Pelodiscus sinensis: one gene and its partner. The protein of the gene in region 1 purifies or fractionates together with the protein of each later gene. This does not show direct contact. Links are inferred from orthologs where the notes say so. Each region holds a gene or a part of one and is shown on either strand. Other genes may lie near its edges. The genes, in order: ZCRB1 and LARP7.

The links.
Region 2: the proteins of ZCRB1 (region 1) and LARP7 purify together in Homo sapiens (affinity purification with mass spectrometry; 3 studies listed by BioGRID and IntAct, counting the BioPlex papers as one, with this or other methods). This does not show direct contact. The link is inferred for Pelodiscus sinensis from reciprocal best matches to the Homo sapiens genes ZCRB1 and LARP7.

What each region holds. Positions count from the first base shown.
Region 1 is NC_134711.1:53,436,941-53,448,854, forward strand, and holds the start of ZCRB1 (zinc finger CCHC-type and RNA-binding motif-containing protein 1), read right to left. Parts: upstream 5,027-11,914; 5' UTR 4,877-5,026; intron 1-4,876.
Region 2 is NC_134715.1:31,429,043-31,440,998, reverse strand, and holds the start of LARP7 (la-related protein 7), read right to left. Parts: upstream 5,700-11,956; 5' UTR 5,564-5,699; exon of another isoform or gene 5,436-5,563; intron 377-5,435; exon of another isoform or gene 374-376; 5' UTR 366-373; coding exon 158-365; intron 1-157. Other genes in the region: 5'-3' DNA helicase ZGRF1, read left to right, coding at 9,683-9,703, 9,817-9,897, 10,024-10,080, 10,939-11,124, 11,882-11,956. UniProt on the Homo sapiens protein: RNA-binding protein that specifically binds distinct small nuclear RNA (snRNAs) and regulates their processing and function.

The DNA of each region.
Region 1 (11,914 bases):
TAAATATATATATATAAATTAATAAAGAGAGGCTAGCTTCATCCTTAAGTAAAAATTGACTATTGCCACACCATAATTTAACTCTGGATATTTTCTAGCACTCTGCTTCAAAAATTTGTAAAGAGTGCATTCCAATAACACTTCTCAAGTGTTTCCTCCTTCATTTCCTATGTGCTTACTGCAACGTAATCTGTGTGGGTAGCAGCTGACTGAGCTTTGGGTTTTTCTTAAATTCCCTGTTTAGGAACTGTATTTCTTTTGGCACAAGTATATGAGGTGACAAAGATTCAGCAAATGAAAACACAGAAGAGGTTCAAAATGAAGGACAGATGTTACTTGTGCTATATAGGCTGCCCATATAATTCTAGACTCCTTGCTGCCTGGCATTAATGTCCTAAGATAAGACTAACTAACCAACCTGGCACTATGCCTTCCAAATAGATGGACATAAGTCTGGCTATCCAGACTAAGTACTGTATTCAAAGGAAATGTTAAAAGCTCTCCTGACACTGCATTATGGATCTCTGCCATATGGGGAGTAGGAGGAAGAGAATGCAAAGCTTGTTTCATACATACGGGGCAATTAGTTTGACTAAGAGAAACTCAGAAGCTAAATTCTACTAAAACTTGTGACTCTCCCCGGTAGGTCTTATTTTAATGAACAGAACAATGGTCTGCAGCCTGACAAGATTGTCAAATAGCTGTCATCCAATCTTGGTTATGCAACAATCTCTCTATGTTTTTTTTTCTTCTCTTAGTATACTAATTATTCTTAGGTAATTGTTATGGTTTTCACACTAAAGACAGCAAAAGTCCCTGCCCAACCCCATTTATCACTTAACTACTTAAACACGGTGTTTAACTGCTTAACTAAACAAACGGGATTTTATATCCCTAACATTCATGTAATAGGGGATCTGCTTCTAGGCCACCTCCATCCTTGGTTGGTAGAATTTGATCCCAGTTACAAGTCACTTGGGAAATGGTGTTCACTGGAACCTCTTTGTGACAGTCTCATGACACATTCAAAAGGATAAGACACTGTTTGCAGACAATGGTAACATGTAGATTTCCATAGCACGACTCAGTCAACTGAATGTTACCTTAAGACTGACATACATCACATGCAGGAGCTACTTGAACTCACAATGTATCTCTAACAATGAGCAGAGGGACAAAATGATGTTAAATGTGGAAGGGTTTCTCATAAAGCCTGACAGTTGGAGGTGACACATCCAATGCAGCAGGGGCTTCAAATGGTCAACAGAACATGCACAAATACCTTCTCTGGAATGGACAAGATGTTTGGCAGGGCCCATCACATCACTGGCAGGGTGCTGGTTGGTCCAACCCTCCATGGGGGATGGCTGCTGTGGCCCAGCTGCAGTTTGGACAGGACCAGTTAACCAGTTACCAGATAAGCATGCCAGTAAGGCTAAAGCATACTGGGTAACTGGTTAGCCTTTTAAATCCCTAGTTGGAGCTATGCCATCAGCAATGAAGGCTAGACTGAAATATCACCTTGGGCCTTATATAAGGTGGACAGATCCAATCAGAACCCTGAAAATGATGACTAATATAGGCATCAAAGATGCAAGTCAACAGCTGTGCTTACCTATCCTAGATGAAAGAAGCCGCTGAAAAAGACTCAATGGCTCAGGTCACATGGTGTAAAGCCAGCATTGGTAAACCCAGAAAAGGTTTGCTTATTGTGTCTGTCTCTCAAGCCAATGGGATGAGGTAGTCTTTGGGACAATCATTCACTCTTGCTTTTGATCAACATAAATAATCTAGTGATCAGCACCAGGATTAAGTCCCCCGGCTCTACTATCAGCTGCAGACACCCTCCTGGTGCCGCCTTTCCCCAGTGCACTTAAGATCTTGCACCAAAGTATTCCCAGGGACGCACATCCTCTGATGTCAGCAGGCATGTCTGCAGTATACCGAGACAACATATTTAATGCAGGGTTGTATTAGAGTAACTGTTTACATTGTTAACTGATAAGCCAGGGCTTACTGGTTACTGTGAATGGTTACATGTAGGCTCCCTCCCCGCTCCCAGAGAGCCTGTATATGTGGGAGCCGGCTTAAAAGACTCCACAGTGCTGCCTCTAATACAACCCTTACAAGCTGCAACCCAGAGTTTGAAAACCCCTGATCTAAGGTACTTATATGCCCCTACCCCCTTACCACAGTATCTAAGCAAGTTGTAATCTTTAAATGTATTTATCCTCATAGCACCTATCTGAGGTAGGAAAATGCTCCATTTTAAAGATGAGGAATTCAGGTACAAAAAGCTTTTAGGTGTTGCAATGCCTAACTAGGGAGCTGCCCAGAAAATCTTGGGCACAAGACTGGGATGTACAAAGCTTCAGTCAGGCATCCTGTACCCTGTCCCTCTCACTGTCAGGTACTGAAATCCAAGTGTAAGGAGATAACTATTTCTGCTTGCAATTTGCAGCCAGGAACCTATCTCCTGGAGTCAGGCATCTTAGATGCCTATCTTGCTTTTAATGTGAATGAGTTAGATACCTGTCTCACAAAAATGACAGTGGAGGTGTCCACCCTAAGTTCTTAGCCCTATAGACAGAACACTCATTGGGGATCTGGGTATAATTCCTCCCTCTATTTGAGGGGCAGAAAGGATGTGAATGGGAGTCTCTAAAGCTTTGTTAATATTATACTTTTTAAAACATTTCTAAACTGGTCCTTGGTCAGGGCAGCCCATGACAACTTTTACAGGGAGCAGGGTCATGGTTTTTTTCACTTCTCTCTGCAACAAATAAATTATATGAACGTGAAAGGGTTAAAAGCACCTCATTTTGTTAGAAGAGTCATATCTTGGCTAAATTACTTTAAATTTGCATTACAAACTATCACCAAATTCCGGTTATAAAACTCTGCATACAAGTTTTAGAGATTTTGAAATAGATTGCTACTTATTAGGAGAGCTGGATCTGAAGAAACCCTTGACCAAATGATCCCTACTTGCATCCCCAATTCTATTGCTGGCCATGTCTGCATGTGAATTTTAGAGCACTTTTCATTATCAGTATTTAAAACAAAAAGCTTTGCTCTCAAGCCCAAACTTCTCAAGAGAGCCTTTTACAGAGGCCCAGCCCCTAACCACAACACAAGTAGACAGTAACCTCAAATTTTCTAGGGAGAGGATGTTGTTTGGGATCAATTGATACAGCGTGTTACCTGAACTTGAGAATAACTGATATAAGGTTGGACTCACTTAATCAAGTATGCAACATTACATACATAAAACATTTTTTTAGAGTCACATAGTCTTGTTTCTAATGCAAAATACACCTGAAATAAAGATTGTGTTATGGTTTGAAGCTGTGCTCGTATCTGCTGGTAGGGGTCATCAACACAGATGCAGATACTCTAATCTTTCCTTTTTCCACATTGTGCCCAGTCTACCACTTGTTCATTTGCGTGCATCCATCCATCATGCTGGTTTTACAGCCAGTCATCTTCCTCTTCCACTAAGGAGCCTTTTTCAGAATGGTACATATAAAACATCATAGTTGCCCATGGGATCAACTTTTCAGTGGAGGCTATAGCATAGATGGGTCTCAAGTTACCACATTTAATCACACTTTGGGAAGGGCTAAATATCAGCTTCCATCAACAGAGGAAATGAATTATGAGTTCAACATTTCCCTACTGCAAATACACCAATCTTGAAATTGGGGGTTTCTTTCTGTGTCTGAGCTATAAGCCAAACACCCTCTAGTCTTTACAACTGCCCCAGAAACTCACATACTGAATCAGTTCCTGCTTTAACCAATAATGTTGTAATTTCTGCCTTTCTATGAGCTGACTCAAGTGGTGGTCCTGACTCAAGACTACCTAATACTTAAAAGTTTACCAACCTGACTATTTCAATAAGGAAATCCTCGCCTCTAACCAAAGTAAAGTAGCTATTCCAGTAAAAGCCCTATCACAGACACAAGTTAGACTAGCAGAGAATTTCAGAAGGGTAGCCATGTTAGTCTGTAACTTTAAAAAACGAATAGTCCTGTGGCATCTTAGAGGATACCATTATATGTTTATATAATGTATGAATGAGAAAGAGAATCATGAGCAAAACCAACTTCCTTTGTTCATCTGACGAAGTGGGCTGTGCCTACTGAAGCGCATGATACTATCTATCTTTATTTGTTGCTCTCCAAGCCCTGGTCTATGCTATTTCTAAATAACAAGCAGAGCATCCACACTATTAAGCCCATTATTTCAAAATAAGGGACTGGCTATTTTGAAATGATGACGCCCGCTTTCCACCAGGAATAATGCTTATTTCAAAATAGTCATTTTGAAATAGCAGTAGCAGGGACACTCCATTGTCTGTAACCACACCACTTTAGAAACTAGCAAAAAACAGAGATAGTATCATGAGTTTTTGTGAGCACAACCCACTTCGTTCATCTGAAGAAGTGGGCTGTGCCCACGAAAGCTCATGATACCATCTGCATGTTCCGTTAGCCTCTAAGTCTAAGGTGATGCCGAGACACTCGTTCAAGTTTGTGCATTTTTAAAATAGTACAGTTATGCTGGACTAGCCTATGTCCCTTCCCAGCTACATCGCTCTCCTGATGCAACGGGGCTGCGGCGTGAGGGGCAGGACGCCGGGCAGCGCTGCGATGCTGGCTCGCTTGGCAGTCACTGGCAATAGGAGCGTTGGGACCTCGGGGACGGGGCGAGGGGAAGAGCCGCTCACGCCCTTAGGAGAACACGAGCCAGAAGCAGCCCCGCCCCCATCTCCGGCAGCCGGACCCTCCCCGGCGCGACCCCCCCCCGCGGGACGAGGCGAACCACGGCCGCCATAGACACGGGGCGGGATTCGGGCGGAGCCCGCACCCACCTCGCGGGAAGCGGTTCAGGCGGGGCGGGAGGACATTTCTCCTAGGCGCTGCCTCCTTTCGCCGGGCGCGCCGAGAGCGAGCCCATGGCCCCACCTGCCGCGGCGCCCTTCCGGCGACGTGAGAAATAGACACCTCCTGGCCCCAGTCACGGGCGGCAGTGCCAGCAGGCAGGCGGGTATTTCCGTTTTCGTCACGAAAGGCGCCGGAAGTGGCCCGGGGCCGCGGATCAGGTCCCCCCGTTGCTGGCAGGGGAGCGGCACCAGGCGCCGGCGCGCGCGAGGGACCTTGGCGCAGGTAGTTTCCGGTTACTCTGGCCCTGCGCCCCAATCTCGTGCTCTGGGCGAACGGCAGCCGCGTGAGCCCCCGCTGCTACCGCGCGCCGCCCCGGCTTCCCGTGACCTCCGTGAGCCTGCGCTGTGCCTGTGGGGCAGGGAGCGCACGTGTTCCGAGCGCCTCCCGCCGTGGCTTGTGTCCGTGCGGCCCGGGGCTGCAGCGCGCCCCTCTCCTCGTACCGCGGATAACGTGGCGGCGGCTGTTGATGGTCACTTTGGACAGAGCTGGGACTGGGTCCGAGACTCCTCCTCCGTTAGACCCCCTCGTAGCCGTTCTGCCTCTACCCACGCGCTGTGCCGGGCAAGCCTCTCTGTAAGCGCTGCTCTAGTCACTGGCCCGGCTTGGCCCCAGAACTGGAAAGAGGAGCAGGCACCGTATTCCCAGCGCTGCCCTGCCAGTTGTTTGCCCACCCGTTTGGTAGCCCCTTTGCAAACGGTTTGCTGGCTCATGTGGTAGGCCTAGTTGCTTGAAGTAGGGGTTCAGGATGCCTGACATTATGCCCTGGTTTCTAGTGATTTCTGTCATATACAGGATTTCTAGTTTATTGTCACGTGGCTTCCAAAGATCAGAAAATTATGGATCAAAGTGGTGGCATTTCTCCTTTATGTAATACTCCAGCTATGTCTTGTTTTAAACTGGATTTTTATTATTTCTAAAATCTGTCAAAATGTCAGATTACCCCTAAGGTAGTTTCTTGCAGAATCAGGAATAGATCTTGCTATAGCAGAGTCAATGAAGACAAACTAGTGAATCTGGTTAAGGTAGCAGAGTGGAGCCCAGAACATTGGCTTCTAGTTCTGACCTAGCACGGCCATTCTATATACAAATCACTTAAACTACATTTTTTTGAGGTGGACGCAAATTTTGTGCCTGATTGTTTTGTGCCATGGACCCCATAAAGAAGTATTCACTTATTTATCTTAAGAAGATATTGTATAGATAACTTGAGTAATTGTAAAATGCAAAAGAACTGGAACTTTATAGAGAGAGAAATGTGAACAGGAACTGGACTTTTGCCAGTTTGAGGAGAAACTGCTCTAAATTTTGGCTATCAAGACCTTGGAGTGACAATGTGAGATTTGGAACTGTTGAGTACAGGTGTGTTTCTAATGTCTGTGTAGACTAGAGAAATGTCTACTTGTGAAACTCTTTGGGAGCTACACTTGAGTCATGGGATACAACTAGCTCTTCAAGAGCGGGCAATAAGCCACCCATGGGCCGGACGCAGTTCACCAGGGTTAACTTCTGGCTGTCAGGCACTTCGTTTGCCTGAGCGTCTGCAGGCACAGCCGCTCATAGCTCCCATTGGCTGCAGGAAGTGGTGGCCCGGCACACAGTGCTTCATGCAACGTCCACTGGCTGTGAACAGCGAACCAAGGCCAATGGGAGCTGCAAGTGGCTGTGCCTGCAGATGCTCAGGGAAATAAAACAAGGTGGTCTGCCGACAGCATACCCTATCAAATCGTGTCTGACCCACAAGCTGCCTTTGCTCACCCCTGTTCAAGAGAATTCTAATTCTAGTTCATTACAAGCAGTCCCTGACTTACGCGGATCCGACTTATGTCGGATCCGCACTTACGAACGGGGCTTTCTCGCCCCGGAAGTCGGGGAGAGAAAGCCCCATTGGTAAGCTGCTCCGGTGCCCCTGGTCTGCTGGAGACCGTCTCCAGCAGACCAGGGACACCGGGCGGGTTCCCGCGCTTCTGAGGCTTTGCCAGAGCAAAGCCTCAGAGGCGCGGGGAACCGCCGCTGCTGCCGCTTCAATCTGGGTGCCTGTGGTCTGCTGGGGACCGTCCCCAGCAGACCACAGGCTCCCGGACTGAAGCCGCAGCCGCGGGGGGGTCCCGCATCTCTGAGGCTTTGCCAGAGCAAAGGGGGGCGGTCCCCAGCAGACCACAGGCTCCCGGACTGAAGCCGCGGCGGGGTCCCTCGCCTCTGAGGCTTTGCCAGAGCAAAGCCTCAGAGGCTCTGCTCCCCGTGTCCCTGGTCTGCTGGGGAGGGGGGGGGGCAGCTAGTGTGCTCCCCCTCCCCCCAGCAGACCAGGCTTTTGTTTTGGACTCTGGGGCAGAGCAGCTGGGGCGCTGCCGATTGGTCCTGCAGCGCCCGCTCTGGGCACTACTGGACCAACCCGGCAGCACCCCAGCTGCTCTGCCCCAGGTCCTGATTCAGCCGCTGCTGGTCAGTTTCAGCAGCGGCTGAATCAGGACTCCTGGGGCAGAGCAGATGGGGTGCAGCTAGGTTGGTCCAGTAGCACCCAGGAGCGGTGCTACTGGAGCAACCCAGCAGCACCCCAGCTGCTCTGCCCCAGGTGTCCCCAAGTCAGCTTCTGCTGAAACTGACCAGCGCTGACTACAGGAAGCCCCAGGCAGAGTTGCTCTGCCCCGGGCTTCCTGGAATCAGCTGCTGATCAGTTTCAGCAGCAGCTGACTTGGGGACGCCTGGGGTTCTTAAGTTGATTCTGTATGTAAGTCAGAACTGGCGGTCAGTTTCAGCAGTGTCTGAATCTGGACGCCAGTTCCGACTTACATACAGATTCAACTTAAGAACAAACCTACAGTCCCTATCTTGTACGTAACCCGGGGACTGCCTGTATTATATCTTACTCTAACAAAGGTTGCTCCTGCATGCCCATGAGCATCATTTTTTGGAGGTGGGGTGACAGGAGAATAGAGAACATAAGAACAGCCATACTGAAACCAAAGGTCCATCTAGCCCGGGGTGGGCAAAAGGGCTTCCATGGGCCGAATCCAGCCCGCCGAGGCCCTGCTGCTCCCCTGCCCCCAGGCCAGTTAGGGGCAGTGGAGTACCCGAAGCCTTCTCTGCTCTACTCCAGCCCTGCGAGTAGTGCATGGCGCTTCAAATGCTGGGGCAGTGCGGAGAAAGCTTCGTACGCTCCCCGCCCGCAGGCCTTAATTGTCCTGGGGGTGGGGAAGCACATGAAGCCTTCTCCCTCCTTGTAAGAAGCACGTGGCACTTTGAAGCGCTGCTCGCAGGGTGGTGGTGGTCGTGGGGAGAGAGCGGAGGAGGCTTTGCAGGCTCTCCAGGCCAATCGGGCTGGGGGCAGGGGAGCTGCATGAAGCTTCTTTCTCCCTGCCCCAGCACTGCGAGGAGCCTGCAGCACTTCAAAGCGCCACGTGCTCCTCGCAGGGCAGGAGGAGGCTTCCCACGCTCCCCCACCCCCGCTCCCCCAGTGTGCCAAACTTCTTCCAGGGCATGGGTGCCTAGTGGGAAGGGGGGGCAAAGGGGCTCCCCCATCTCCAGACCAAACCTCCCCCCCGACCTAGCCCAGTATGCTGTATTCAGACAGTGGCCAATGCTAGGTGGACCCAGAGGAAATGAACGGAACAGGGAATCGTTAAGTGATCCCACCCCTGTTGCCCACAAGAGGGGAGTCGTAGGCCCACAAGTCTATTTTGACTTGGGAGCATGTTTGGGGTGTGAGATAAACTTTCAAGACTATGAAGTGAGGAGAATTCAATATACCTCATCATTCCCTACTATGGTGGAGGGGTGGGGGGGCGTGAGTTGACCATGTTATGAACCCACATACTAGAGTGAGTACTTAACACAAAAAAATGGCACTTGACACCACAGGTGTTTCTTAAACTGCAGGCACTCAAATTCTTGAGCTGGCATTTTATGCATAGTTATATTATCACTGTACTCAGAAGAGGGTAAGTAGGATGTTTTGGGACTGTTCAAGTCAGTGATCAGTATTATGTTTGGTATAATGTTGTTTGTCAGTAGTGATTGAGGGTTAGATTTTAAAAGTTGTTCAGGTGCCTAAATATGGAGTGAGTCAAGTGCCTATCCTGCTTAGGTACTTTTGCCTTATTTGCCTTCCTGCAGTTTTAGGCATCTAATGTCTTTATAAATTAGGTTCTCAACTCTTGTATTTTATGCAGTGGTGACTCTTTCTAGCCTTTATGCGTGCAGGCTCTTTTTGCCATTGACTGTTTCTAGCGTGCTGGTGTTAAAAGTGACCCCCTCAGCAAGATGCACGAACAGCATCCTAGTAGAAAACTTATCAATGTCTGTCTTCTCAGAAGCCCGGGTGGCAAATGTCCCTCTGGTTGGTAGGTGTTTGGAAATATTTTATGCTCTGGGTTAGGGATGTTGCATTCCACCCACCCTTTCCCCCTGCAATGGATCCGGGATGAGGCAGCTGCTTTGGGGGATAGCTCTGCTGCGGCTCCGTTATCTGGCCCTGCTCCTCCATGAGCCCCGCTCATGCCTGGCAGGCAGGGAAGGGGCTGGGGCTGCCCGACGCTGGGACAGGAGCCGAGTACCGAAGCCCAGGCAGGCAAAGCTCAGTGCTCCTAGGCTGGACTCGGGGAAATGCAGGCCCCCTTCACTGGCTGGGCTGGCAGCACTCAGTGGGTGGGTCTCCCGTGGTGAGTCAGGCCAATGCCACTGGCTGGGGCAGGTGGGAGCAGCGCCTCAGTCCGGGATGGTTACTTGGGGAGCCTGGCTGGGCACCGTGGACACCTGGGAGGAGGCTCCTGCAGCCGTGCTGATGTAGCTGGGCTTGCTGCTTAGCTGGAGTGACCTCAGGCTGGGTGCTGAGCGTTGTGCACCTGTCGCAGCAGCCCACTGGGCTCAGGGGCAGGGACCAGAGCTCTCCCATTGCTGGGGCTTCATCCCAGGCGAGTCAGTGCTGTGTGGCTTGGCCCAGACATGTCGCAGCCCAAAGGGGCAAAGCAGGGTGAGTGGCCGAGCGGGGCTCTCATGAGTGCGGGTAGAGCTCGGATTGTGGCTCGGCCCCCACTGTACATCTGCCCTGGCCTTTCTCCATACCTGTCATGATTTTATAGACTTTTCTCATAACCCCCCTTAGTCTCCTCTTTTCTAAGCTGAAAAGTTCCAGTCTTTTTAATCTCTCTTCGTATGGCACCCTTTCCAAACCCCCAGTCATTTTTGTTGCCCTTTTCTGAAACTTTTCTGATGCCAATATATCTTTTTTGAGATGAGGCGACCACATCTGTACGCAGTATTAAAGATGTGGGCGTACCGTGGATTTATACAGAGGCAATAAGATATTCACTATCCCTTTTTAAATGATTCCTATCATTCTGTTGACTACCGCTGCACACTTAGTGTATGTTTTCAGAGAACTAACCACAGTGACTCCAAGATCTCTCTTCAGGGGCTATAGCTAAATTAGTCCCCATCATTTAGTATGTATAGTTGGGGTTATTTTTTCAAATGTGCATTATTTTGCATTTATTAGCATTAAAATTCTCTTGCCATGTTGCCCAATCACTGAGTTTTGTGAGATCCTTTTGAAGTTCTTCACAGTCTGCTTTGTTCTTAACTATCTTGAGCAGTTTAGTATCATCTCCACATTCCTTTTCTGTGGTTACATGGTTAATCACTTGCATGCATTTTAACATCCCTAATCTTAACTCTGCCATGCTTGGCCCAGATTCACCATCACATAAGCACAGAACAAAAATAATCCTATCCAGGCCTGTTTTTGTCTTTGTATATATTTCTTAGCTGACTAACAAATTGAAAGGCCAGAATGTTCAAGGAGCAGAAGATGGTTGTTAGGATGTACAGATTACAGCCATGGATTTATTTTTTGTGAGACTGTAAGAGTAGGAATAGCATGTTGGTGGTAAGATTTAATTTTAACTTTTTTTTAATGAAAAATTTAGAATCCTATTTTTTTTAAATCCAGTTATTAAAAAAAAAAAGACTTTTATCCAGCCTGGTCTCCATGAAATAAGTGAAGTATCATGATTTATTTTTCCTTCTTTGTTATACTACTTGTAGCTCTCAAGACAGAGGAGAGGGCTGCCTTTTTTCCAGTATAAACATCAGGAACTGAAAAATATACCCAGTGCTTGATAGCCAGGTGAAAAATAAATGAGCTGCCATATATCTAACCCAGTCACCCAACATCATATCTTTCAGATGAAGAAATAAAGTTTTGTATTGTTTGTTGTATCTTAATGCCGACAGTCAGTTTTCTATTACCACATCTTTAAAAATGTTTTTTCTCCCTTTTTCTGTCTTTTTATTTTTGTACCTCCACTCCCTGTTTTCCCTCCTGTCCTATTTAAGATTAAGATTCCATGATTTTTTAACAGATGTCTCCACCTTTGGCTCATGCTTCAGCCCCACCTGGCCAGCCAAAGCCTGACTGCCTTAACTTAGCTTTGTAGAGCCTCTATGGCATAGAGCACTGGGCAGTTGCCCTAATGCTGCTCTGTGTGAATTTCTGTGATTTATTGACTTATTTCCTATGTCCTATTTAATAAAAATATCTGTGCCAAAATCATATCCTTAATCACAATGTATCTTTCCCTGAATTATTTTCATTGTTTCCTCTTTCTTCAACTCCCTTCTCTCTTTCCCTAAGTTCTTTTGCAATGGTGGATGTAGTAATTTCCCTTCTCGTTCCTTCTACTTCTTCCTAAATCTCTTTTTCAATACAATTTATCCAGTCTCTGTTTCTCTTAACCATCTCCTTCTGATCATATAGTATTCATATTTTAAAAATATTGCCAAATGCACTTAAGAGATGGAGGACTGAACCTACCAGCTAAAGAAAAGTACAAAAAGAGGGGAGGGCGACAATGTCAAGAGGCAACTCTTTGATGATGAGATAATTCTCCAACTTGTGCCATAGAGGGAGAATTCTAGGATTCCTCTTGAGATGTTGTCCTTCAACAAGAAACCTATAGCAAAAAGTTCTA
Region 2 (11,956 bases), on another chromosome or scaffold:
CTCTCTTGAAAGTGTACATTTATTACTCCAGTTGCTTTTTCTCCGTCCACAGCAGCTATACATACAGAATATGTCCATAATTTATATACGCAATAATCTAGAAAACTACTACTGAAGAAAATTCAAAGCAAATTTGTTTACCCGGGAGCAAACTTACATCCATCTCTAGACTTCTCTATTTGTTCTCGAAGGAATTTGTCTTTGTGAAGATTGACATCTCCAAACCAGAAATCCACTTGTTTTGCTATATCTGAGAGAACCTGTTTAACTCTGGATCTTTTCTTTTTCTCTCGTTCCCTTTTCTGTTCTGTGCTTTCCTCTTCCATGGCTTTGTCCCTTACAGTTTCATTCTCCAAGCCAGTCATTCTGTCACCTGAAAATTTAAACATAACTTTGTAAAAAACAGATGTTTTCCCTCTCAAGTGTAGGTAATATTGGTTTGCTCTTCTATAGCATCTTTCATACAATTTTCAAAAGCTTTATGCCTGTCTGTTGCTGTAGCCATGTTGGTCCCAGGAAGACAGAAGTTGATACAATAAAAGATATTATCTTGCCCATCTAGTCATTCCAGGATCTTAGGCTGATTATCACCAGTTAACGATATAGCTATAAGTTTGGGGTCTGAATCCCAACTTAAAGAACAGTTTGCTTCCTTGCAGAGGAATGCAACACCAAAGTGCTTAGTGATAGCAATCAACACCATTGGATTTGTGATGGCAATGGGATGCACTTAAGAAAACAGTCGTTTCCAGATTATAAAAAGCTAAAATACACCTCTGCCAGAAATTATACCAGGAAACAATGTGGAGATCCAAAATTTTTCAGTTGACATCTTCTGAGTACAGTACTATGAACTTTCAATACATTCTTAATGTTGTGTCAAAGATTAAAAAGACCACCAAAATTTGGGCTCACTAATGAATACTGTTTTTGTAAGTATACATTATAACCTGGATGTGCTGTATAAAAAAAAATAATGTTTTCCTTTTTTCGCAGTTATTTAGGACCTGATCTTGTGAGGCACTGGGCATCCTCAAATCCCATTGATGGCTCTTGGCAACTAATAAAATCAAACTCTTAGAAAACAGGATGTAACTTGAGGAAAGATGACAAGTTACACAGGTATAGAATTCATTTTGACCCAAGTCACTCTTCAATCTCTACCTCCTTAAGAATGATCAATCTTTCAGAGTATTATATATGTATGAAATAAAAACAACTGCAACTTGGCATGAGTGAAAGCTGTCTAAAAATGAAGTTGCCACAATGGCTGATGTATTTTACACATGATAGCAACATAAAGGTCTTTCCATTTCTTGGTCAATGGTTAGTATTACAATACAATGTTCCAGGAAGTGGTGTTTGCAGGGAGAAACAGAGAGGAAGCCAAAGATCGCATAAAAATGGAAATGGTTTTCAGATTATTGTGTAAATCAGGCTTCTTTAAGCAAGATTCCAGTTTATCTCCCTGCTGTGAGCTGACCATTCAAGATGCTTAAGGTCAACAAGCTGTCAATTAGCTTGAAAGAATAAGTAAGGTCATGCTCCTGTCATTGAGCTAAAAGTTCAACATGAGTTCAAATCACACAGCAAGACAAACGTCAGCAATGCAATATAATATTTGGTCGGACGCTACAGGAAAAATTGTACTACTATTTAGTGGCACTTTTTTTCAGAGAGAGGATGTCTCTGATGACTGTCCAGTTAAAAGTTAAAGAAAGCAAGCCAATTTTCCAAATAAAATATTCAGGAATTACAGATTTTTTTTGGAGAGGGGATCTTGTCTGGAATACAACACCTAATATCCAAGTCTCTGAGAACTTCTGCTCACCACATGGAAGCTGTGCTTGTCTTGTCTACACCATCACTTAACTCTCAGTATCCAACTAATCTGTAAAGAATTTAGGAAGCTTTCAGTACAGGTTGGACCTCTCTTGTCCAGCAACATCCATGATCCGGCATGATTTTAGTGACCCAAATGTCATCTTATTGTAGGTGTGTCTAAGTTTCCCACTGTCCTGTAAAGTTGACAGATGACAGTCCTGGCTCTCAATGTTCTGTGCTGTTATTTAACTCTAGTTTACCCCTTAAATGACTTCTTGGATCCCAGCAAGCAGCGGAAATGCTGGTAATGTCGTTAAGCAAAAACATGTTTTTATGCTTTATTTACTCATTTCCTTCTGCCAATACAGTAAAACTGTGTAACAACACTAACACTTTTTTCTGAAGAGAGCTGATAAGCCTTGGCTAGACTCAAACTTATTTTGGGTGTATCTGTACAGTTACACATTGGTAAGAACATACTAAGCATTGTTCTGTTTATTTCCCTTGGCAATCAATAAAATAAAAAACAAATAAACAAACAGACAGACAAATAAATAAAAAAGACCAAATCGCTACAATATTGGTTTCCTGTAGTTTAGCATCCATCAGATCCTGAGGATGCTGGACTAAAGAAGTTCAACTTGTATCAAGGACACTACAGAAATCGACATTTTACTTTACAAATGCTATATTGTGCTGAGCACTAATTAGATCCCACATTGTGGTGGCTTTGTCAGAAGACCAGAGCAAGGCTAGCTTCAAGATACAGTGCCTCAGGACTCAGAGTCCAAATAAGATAACCAAGGAAAGAAAGAGGATGAGAAATGAAGATGAGCTCTAATACCTGGCCAAGATACTTTTCCTCAACATGCCTGCTCAGCTGCACTGGTTGATGCCAGCTCAGCAGCACATATTAAGCTGTATTGGCGGATGAACACACGGGGAAGCAGGGAAGAGCCACAGCTCTGGTAAGAAGAAAAGTGATCCCACAAAGCAAGCAAGGGCAGTTAATAGGCAGACCATGGGCCAAATCCAGACCATCAGGTGCTTTTGAATGGACCCAGACATTTTTTCATTTACATACTATTGCATAAACATTTATCATTTCTGGCACTCCACATGTAAAATTCACAAACTAAAAAATTTATTTTGGAAGAAGAAACTCATTCCCTTTGAGTCATTCACTACTTAGGTTTACAGTGACTCGATGTTGACACCAAATAAACAATTGACGTTCATAAAAATATTTTCATTAGGTGAATCAGACTTGGATTTGTACTTTAAAAACAAAGAATTGTACAAAAACGTCACTTAGGTTTCAACCACAATAATGTCATAGAAAATGCCCAAAAGATCATAAAAGTTTGCACTCCTAATATTGTCTTATAAATGGGGCACTCACCAAAATACACACATTTTTTCCATTTTCTTGCTCAAAGTAGCTATAGCGATATCCTGTTCTAGCGTCATCAGAACTACTTGTTTTTTACATAACTACATTAAAACCAGCATCAATGCATCTACTGCGTGGAGCATTTTCTAATTCTAGCTCAATTCCAACTAGCATGAACATCAGCTGCCCCAGTAATTTAAATACAAGACTGAAATGGAGCAGTGTGTTATGTACAAAGAAGCAAAGCACAGAAATGAACAATAATGAAAACTTATGAATTAGGGATGTAAGCAAGCAGTCGAGTAGCTGATTACCTGGTAAACCTCAGCTTATCGGATAGTCGAGTTGACTACCCAAATCCCCTCCCCCCCTTTGGGAGAGCTGGAGCCGAAACTGGGGGGAGCCAGATCTCCTCGCCTGCCCCCACTTCCTGCACTGCTGCCTCTAACAGAAGCAGCAATGTGGGAGGAGGGGGATGCTTGAAGCAGCCTCTGCCCACGGCAGGCCAGGCTTGCCACGGGCAAAGGCTGCTCCGCATCCTGTGGATCAGCCCCTGTTCACAGCAGCCTGGGCTGGCCATTAACAAAGGCTGCTCTGGCAGCAGCCGGGACTGAGCAAGCTTGGCTCAGTCCTGGCTTTTGTCAGGTCCAGGAGCTCCCTGTTTTCCCCGTGCGACTGTGCAGTTTAAATGTCTTGCTATATTGAAACTGTAGAGCTTCAGGGGGGCATAACTCCCAGACCCGGCATGAACCAGGAATGAGTACCTTCCCTTCTTGACTAATCATGTAGTCGATAACATTTTTGGTTTTGCATTACAGTAGGGTTAACTTAATTGGGGACTCTGGAGTAGAATTTGGATTGCAGTCATTTAAAGTATGTGCTATATTGCATTGGAAATTTGGGCTCAGACTCAGGTTCAAGCCCACCTCTCCTCTCATCCACTCACATGTCTACCTAACATTAAACAACAAGCACTTGGGACCCAGCTCTTGGGGACCATCCAAGGGAGGGAGGAGGGAAAGAGTCTGATTCTCTCTGTGTCTAAACCCTATCATTTCGTAGCATGGCAGCAGCCGTAGCCAGACCCAATTCAGAACATCTACGTAGTGCACGCTGGACTAGTTAACCCAGCTCCAGTAACTAAAAGCCCAGCTTTACAATACAGCGTGGATGCTTCACCAAGTGCACAAGCCTGAGTCCCAAAGTCAGAGTTTCTACTGCGGTGCAGACATGGCTGGAGAAGCCAGTACCAACCCTAGCAGGACAGAAGGCAGCTTCTTCGCTACACCTGTGCGCTGATCCCAAAACTGCCCCTCCTGCCAGTGGCCTCATTCCAAATTGTTGGGAAAGGGCTCAGACGGAGGGGGATAGCAACAGTACTTTGGAGTCACTCCCTCAAGCCCTGACGGACAAAAGTGACGAATGTAAGAACATAAGAGCGGCCATACTGGCTCAGGCCAAAGGTCCATCTAGCCATGCCAGGTGCCCACAGAGGGAATGAACAGAACTGGTAATAATGAAGTGATCCCACCCCTATTGCCCACTCCCAGCTTCTGACAGAGGCTAGGCACATCATTCCTACTCATCCTGGCTAATAGCCATTGATGGCCCAATCCCCCATGAATGTCTCTAGTTCTTTTTTTGAACCCTGTTAAAATCCTGGCCTTAACAGCATCCTCTGGCAAGGAGTTCCACAGATTGGCTGTGTGCTGCATGAAGAACTACTTCCTTCTGTTTGTTTTAAAACTGCTATTAGTTTCGTTTGGGGGTGGCTAGTTCATAGGCTATGGGAACAATTACATGCCTTTATCCCGAATTCACTTTCTCCACCCGCCATGATTTTATAGAGCTCTGTCCTATCAAGCACCCAGTCTTCTTCATCTCTCTCTTCCCGTGGCCTCAGCGCTCTCGCGGCCCCTTTTCTGAACCTGTCCCAGGGACAAAAGAACTTTGGGGACGCCCCTCCCCCCCTGCAGGCGGCGCTGTTCACGGCGGGTGCCGGACTGCGCGGCTCTAGGCAAAAGCGCTCTTCAGTCTGTCCGCAGAGCCCCCCGCGGCCCCCACGCGCCGCCAATGCCCCGCCCCGCCCACGAGCCTGACGCATGCGCGAAGCCCCCGCGCAGCGCCCCCTGCCGGCGGGGCGGAGAGGGTTAACAGTGTTCCTAGTTCACCGCGCTTCCCCCCTTCCCGCGCCCGGTGCGTAGAGCCGGGCTCTCACCTGCCGCCGCCGCCGCCGCCAACTCCTACAGGGCCCCCCGCCTCTCCTGAGCTGCAGCAGCGTCACCGCCAGCGCGCGACGCTCAGCCGCAGCAAGAAAAGCCCCCGCCTGCCCTGCCGCCGGCTTACCAGATCGGCGCCCCCCCCGCGCGCGACGCACTTCCGAGCGCGGGCCGGCGGCGCGAGGGGCTATTCTCTGCCGTGGCGCCGGAAAATAGCGTCATCGGTAGCTGGCGGCGCGGGAAAGCTTCAAACCAGGGCGAGGAGCCGAGAGCTCGAGAGGTGCCGCGCGGGGGGGGGAGGGGAGAGGAGGTGACGCTGGTCCGCTCCCCGCGCTCTGCCCCCCCCCCCATCGGCGTCTGCAGAGCGAGAGGCTCGGCCATCCGCGCCAGGCGGCTTGGGAAAGAGCCGGGGGGGGGGGGGCGGAAGGAGGTTTAGCCCCCCCGGCAGGACTAGGAGAGCAGCGGCCCTGCGGGCTCCCTGCCTGCACCCACAGGAGCGGGCTGTCAGCGACGCGCAACGTCGGGCATCGCACAGCAGAGCCACAGGCCGTCCCGTGTCCCCCCCCCCCCCCCCCCGCAGCATTTTTACTCTCCCCTCCCGGTACCAGCCTCCTCCGGCCTCGCTGGTGTTTGAAATGCAGAGGTTACAAAGTATTGCGCAACCAGGCTCTCCCTAGCATGGGCTCCCAAACGGGGGGGCGAGGCGACCCAGCCCCTCCCCCCCGACAATCCCACTCCAAGTTTTGCTGCTATTTTTTGGGCGGGGGGGGGGGGGGCAGGAGTTTCTCAGAAATCAAAAAGGGGGGCGTGATGCCAAAAAGTTTGGGAACCACTGCCCTAGCAGGAACTGCCTCTGCCCCATGTCTGTACAGTGCCCAAAACGATGAGGCTCCAGCGCGCGGGGGGGGGGGGGGGGGGGCGAGCAGAAGCCCAACTCTTTTCCGTTGCAGGTTTTGGTGCTTTCTGTCACCATGCTCCCGATGTAGGATGTGTTGTAGCCAGGTCTGCTCCACTTAAAAAAAACCTCGTGTAGATAAAAGAAAATTTAAAAATTATAGAACCTTGCTTTTAGGCAGAAAAATAAGTCCTGGCGCTGGCTTCACTCCAGCTGACTTTGAAATGTTAACAACTTCAGCTACACTAGTAATCAACTTTCATGTGTAAAAACCATTGGTTTTTAACATTGGGATTTTTAAAAGCACTCACTCAGCATTGGGTGAATTCTGCTATTATTGAAGTCAGTGGTCAAATTCCCATAGACTTCCCTAAGACCAGTATTTGGACATGGAGTGTTTCTGACAATTCTCTACTAAATGGTTTGAGAGAGTAACTGTTAATCACCTTTGCCATGAGGGGAGTGATATGAGAGCAAAATTATAATGTTTTACACTCTACACAGAATATATGAGTACAGTTTATATTGGTACCAGTCCTTTCATAAGAATATAAGAATCACCATACTGGGTCAGACCAAAAGGTCCACCTAGCGCAGTATCCTGTCTGCCATCAGTGGCTAATACCAGAGGGAGGGAACACAAAAGATAATCCTCACATGATCCCTCTCCTGTCCCCCATTTCCAGACAAACAGAGGCTAAGGACACCATTCCTACCAATCCTGGCTAATAGTCATTGATGGACCTAACCTCCTAGCTCTTTTTTGAACCATGTTAAAGTCCTAGTCTTCCCATCCTCTGGCAAGGAGTTCCACAGGTTGACAGTGTGCTGAATGAAGAAAGGACCATAAAAACTCTGATACTAGATCTGAATGAAAAAACGTGATTGTGTTCCTTTCAATGTCTCTTTCTTTGCTTCTGTTACATTTTGAGGTAGTTTCTGTGAAAGACGTTATACAGTAGGGTCTTATTTTTAAGTATTACCACACTGGGGCTATGTCTACACTGGCGGCTTCTTGTGCAAGAACATCTTGCGCAAGGGTTCTTGTGCAAGAAGTCTTGCGCAAGAAAATGTCCACACTGCCATGTGCAAGCTGTGCTTTTGCGCAACAGTGCCCATAGCAGTGTGGGTGCTCTCTTGTGCAAGAAAGCTCTGATGGCCATTTTAGCCATAGGGCTTTCTTGTATAAGAAATCCCTGCTGAGCGTCCACAATACCCTCTTGTATAAGAGCTCCTGCGCAAGAAGGCTTACACCTGTTAAAAAAGAGCATAGCTCTTGTGCAAGAAGCCCTCTCTTACCACACCGTACTGTAAATTTCCTTGTGCAAGAGCGGGCAGGCAGTATGGCTGCTCTGCGGATTCTTGCGCAAGAATGGCCATACTTGCGCAAGAAGCTGCGAGTGTAGACATTGCCTTACTGATTTATTTTAGGTCATTAAGGCTTTCAGCAGCTGCCATTATATTCTTTCAGGAATTAATAAACCAATGTATCTGTAGTGGTGGCTCTATTATTCAGTCTACTTCAAAATGGTCTAGCTGTTTACTCTTCTTAGCATATGCACAATGTGCCTCAGGTGACAGAGGACCAGGATTCATCTTCATTCATTAAGTTTGGTCATGTGGTTGGATCATTAGTAAAGCTCTGCCAGTCTCCTTATATCCACAGCCCCTGTTTGTGAATAGAAGATTGGATGCAGATACTATTTTGTATCTGTGCAGGCCTCTAATCATTAACTTTCCCAGATTGCATCAGGTACTGAGGGGGAGTGCAACACAAAGGCTGATCCATGCCACCCACCCATGGACTGCTTGACAGATTCTATCATTTCCATTCTTATTGTTCCATTTTATTACTAGGAAAGAGAAAGACTATCTGAAAATTCCTATTCTGCTCTAAAGTAACCATCTTTCTGTAAACAATGCTAAATCAAGCCATTATCAGATCAAGTAAGGGGAAGTGAAGACAGCTCTTCTGGTATTGTTACAAGAATGGTCAATCTGTGAATTGCACAGTTGGAAACATGATCTTTCCATACATCTTTCTAAACAGTACCATGACTGAGAAGAATAAACGTAAAGTAAATGTTCTGAGCCACCTTGTGGCGAGTGTGTAGCATTTAAGAAGTTGAAAGACAAGACACTTTAAAACTGGAATTTTTAATGAAAAAGCTATTATAGCTTGAGAGCCACTGTCATGAGAAAAAGTGTGAATATATTTCCTCTTTTAATAAATGTATTTACAATGGAATAAAAAACCACATATGTAGAATGCTAATTGAATCTGTTTATCTGCTAGTAACGCAATCAGTGTATTATTTCTCAAATATAATTTCCTAGTTCATCCCCAAAAAGGTATCCTATGAGTTTTTTTCATCCTATCTCTACTTATTCTAAATGTTAAAAATGTACTAAGAATTCTTAAATCCCATGAACTATTGCTTAATTAATCTCTAGTCTAATATCTTCCTATAATAGCTGCTTTGTCTTCTCATATGCCTTTTCTTATGTGTGATTGCTTTTAACAATTTCTTTATCACTTGTGTTGCTGTCTATGCAGTCAGCCAGTAATTTCAAGAAGTTAGAGCAATTGCCAGTGTTAGCTGTGTTCCTGTGGTTGTGGTTTTAATTGAAGTGTCAGTAATTGATAATTATGATTAAGATCCCAATGTTAAGTGCAACTCTTTACATGCAAGTACAAGTTATGATATTTGACAGTTAATTTTCTACTGTATTTGTGTGTCATAAGGTTTGAAAATGATGAAGTGTTTATATAAAGCTTTGATTACTGTTGACTACTTTAGGCCAAGTTTTTTATGGGTGATTATTGATTTGAGGGTTTCAAAATTAGATACCCCAAAATGAAGCCTCATTAGAGACATGAAAGTTTGGTTAATTTTTTAGTAGTAGATTATATGTTCTGATAAGATTATTAGGCTAATAGTTTTCAAAGAGCCAGCTAAAATAAAAATACCTACTTATCTGAAAAATGATTTTGAGCCACAACTTCCATTAAAATGAATAGTAGTTGCAGATGTTCAGGTTTCTAAAAAAGTAGATCTCTTCTTGATATTAATATTTAAACAAAAGCTATTTCTGCTATTAATCTTTACTTTTGTTAGTTTATGTTTAGAATACAAGTCTTTAGCACTCCAATATTCCCTCACAAGCATCACTACCCTGTTTTTACCCACTCTTTAAGGGAAAGCACTGGATGTGTATCTTTTTTGTTTGACACACTTGCCTTGCAGCTGAGTTGAATTCTAAATATGCCCCCCCCCCTTTTTTTTGAGTAGTATGAAGATCTGAATATATGCATTGCAAACCTTTGGATTGCTGTGTTTCATCAAAGCAATGGCTTGTCAGGAGTTTACTGTGAGTCTTATTTTTAAGTACAATTATATATAAGATATAGTCAAATTTCACATATGCTTGGCTTGTATGACTACTAAATCATTTCAGTATATACATGTTTTTTATAATATAAGGTCTTATACACTCATCAGAAGACTAAAAAATCGAAAGTATGGCAAGATGGAGTTTTGAAAACCACTACTGGAGGAAATAAGGTGAAGAATTCAGGTTTAATTCAGTATCATGTGCATAATAGTACCACTTTTTCAGCTTCTACTTGTGTCACTGGTTCCTTCTTAACACACATTTGTTAAATTTAAAATTCTCCTATTTCAATACAGGCAACCTTATTTGATGACAGAGGACAATGTTTGGAGAGTGTATTTGTTAAATCTCAGGTATTTTATAATCATGTAAAGCTTTTATCCTTATTTGGCTAATAATTTGACGCAGCATATTTTATCTTCATGTGATCCAAAGTTCCCTATGCTTCAGTTTTGTCTAGCTTTGTCATTGCTAATATTCTGATCCTTAAATGTTTAGGTTGGAAAATAATCTGTGACAGATTGTTTGTTTGTATGTCACTATATGTAAAACAGCACATAGCAAATTTTAGTACAGTGGATAACTGACAAATAGGCTTATGGTGGATAATGAATTATGAATATATATAATTTTCACTTCATGCTGTTATGCAAACCATATGCTTAGAATGTTCTCAAATGTATTTAATTCTTTCATATAATTTCTTAAAAAAAAAAAACCCTTCATAGACTTACCTATTCTAGGAAGCATTACAATTGCAATGTACTCTGACCATTACATGTTTGATTTTGATTTGTATAGTACCTTTTTACATTGCAAGCTTATTGAGATGGAGTGCTGTTTGTTTGATATTATGGAGTTTTTGTACAGCCAAAAACTAATAGACCTATGTAAATAATTATGGTCTTAGGAGTTGCTTAAAAACTTCATTTTTAAAGCTACAGTATTTAGTAATCTGTGCAAATTTGAGTGTTTACATTAGAACCAACACAAAACAATTTGAAACTTAGAGCTAATGCTTGCTTTCATATCTAGTCTGCTCCAGTTGTCTAGGATACAGTGAATTTTGTATATTATTGTTTCATTTCTGTGTTGTAAAACAAATTATTTCAGTATCTATTTGACAACACTTAGGAGAAACTATCATTTTTTCCACTGGCTAGCATACATAATGCCATTAAACAACACTTTTGTTTCTCTGTCTTTTCTAGGTGAAACCTGGAGATGACTTAGAAAGTGACCGATATTTGATCACAATTGAAGCAGAAAAAATAACTGAAAACTGTGGTAGTGATCAGCCAAAGAAAACAGAAGCGCCTACGCTGAACAGAAATAGTTTGAAGCCCAGTGGTTTCTCTCTGCCCCATCTACCTCTTGGCTTGAAAAGGAAACATACTGTATGTTTGTGTTTCATATGTATGTTTGACTTTCATATCCAATTTAAAACACTATTGGAACGTTATAATTTGCACTAGTGTCAGGGAAAACCTATTTTAAATCCTAATTTCCCTCCTGATGGTATATGCCCTGCAATTGTATCTAACTTAGTGTATTTCCTAGTGCTTTCTAGTTATCCAATGACTAAGGCTGTATTGTGGGCATGTAAGTGAGGAGTTCAATTAGAGTGAAATCAAATGAAGTATATATAGACAAAATGTTTGGGTTTAATTCTTAGCAGCAAACTACATTAATGTAAGTATATTGTTTGCATATGTGACTTGTTAAATTCACACTGAATGTCATGATTGTAGCCAGGTTTACTTGATAGCATATTAAATTGTTTAGTTACAGGATGCTAATTTGAAGTATTAATGAGGAGCTCTGAACTTCCTGTGGATGCATTAGTACATATTTTGTTAGTAAAATAAAATAGGTGAAGTGTATTGGAAAGAAAATGTGTAATTAAAATCTGCTCTGCCTTGCATGAATAAGACTAACTTGCTTGGCATATGTAAGCAAGAGTTATTTTAACAACTACTGCTGCTATTCAGGGTACAATTCAAAAGAAGCATAATTTGGGATTGTTCAATAAATGTGTCAAATTGTTTAATGAGAGTATGGAGCATAATAAGTGCCCTGTTGCTTTTTACTGCTTAGGTTCCAAATTTCAAAGCTGATTTATGAATAATATTAACATAAAAACTTTTCTCCTAGGGCTTTCAAGGGCCACGTCAAATTGAAAAGAAAATGGTGCTGATGGAAGATGATGAAGCAGTAGTATCCCATTCA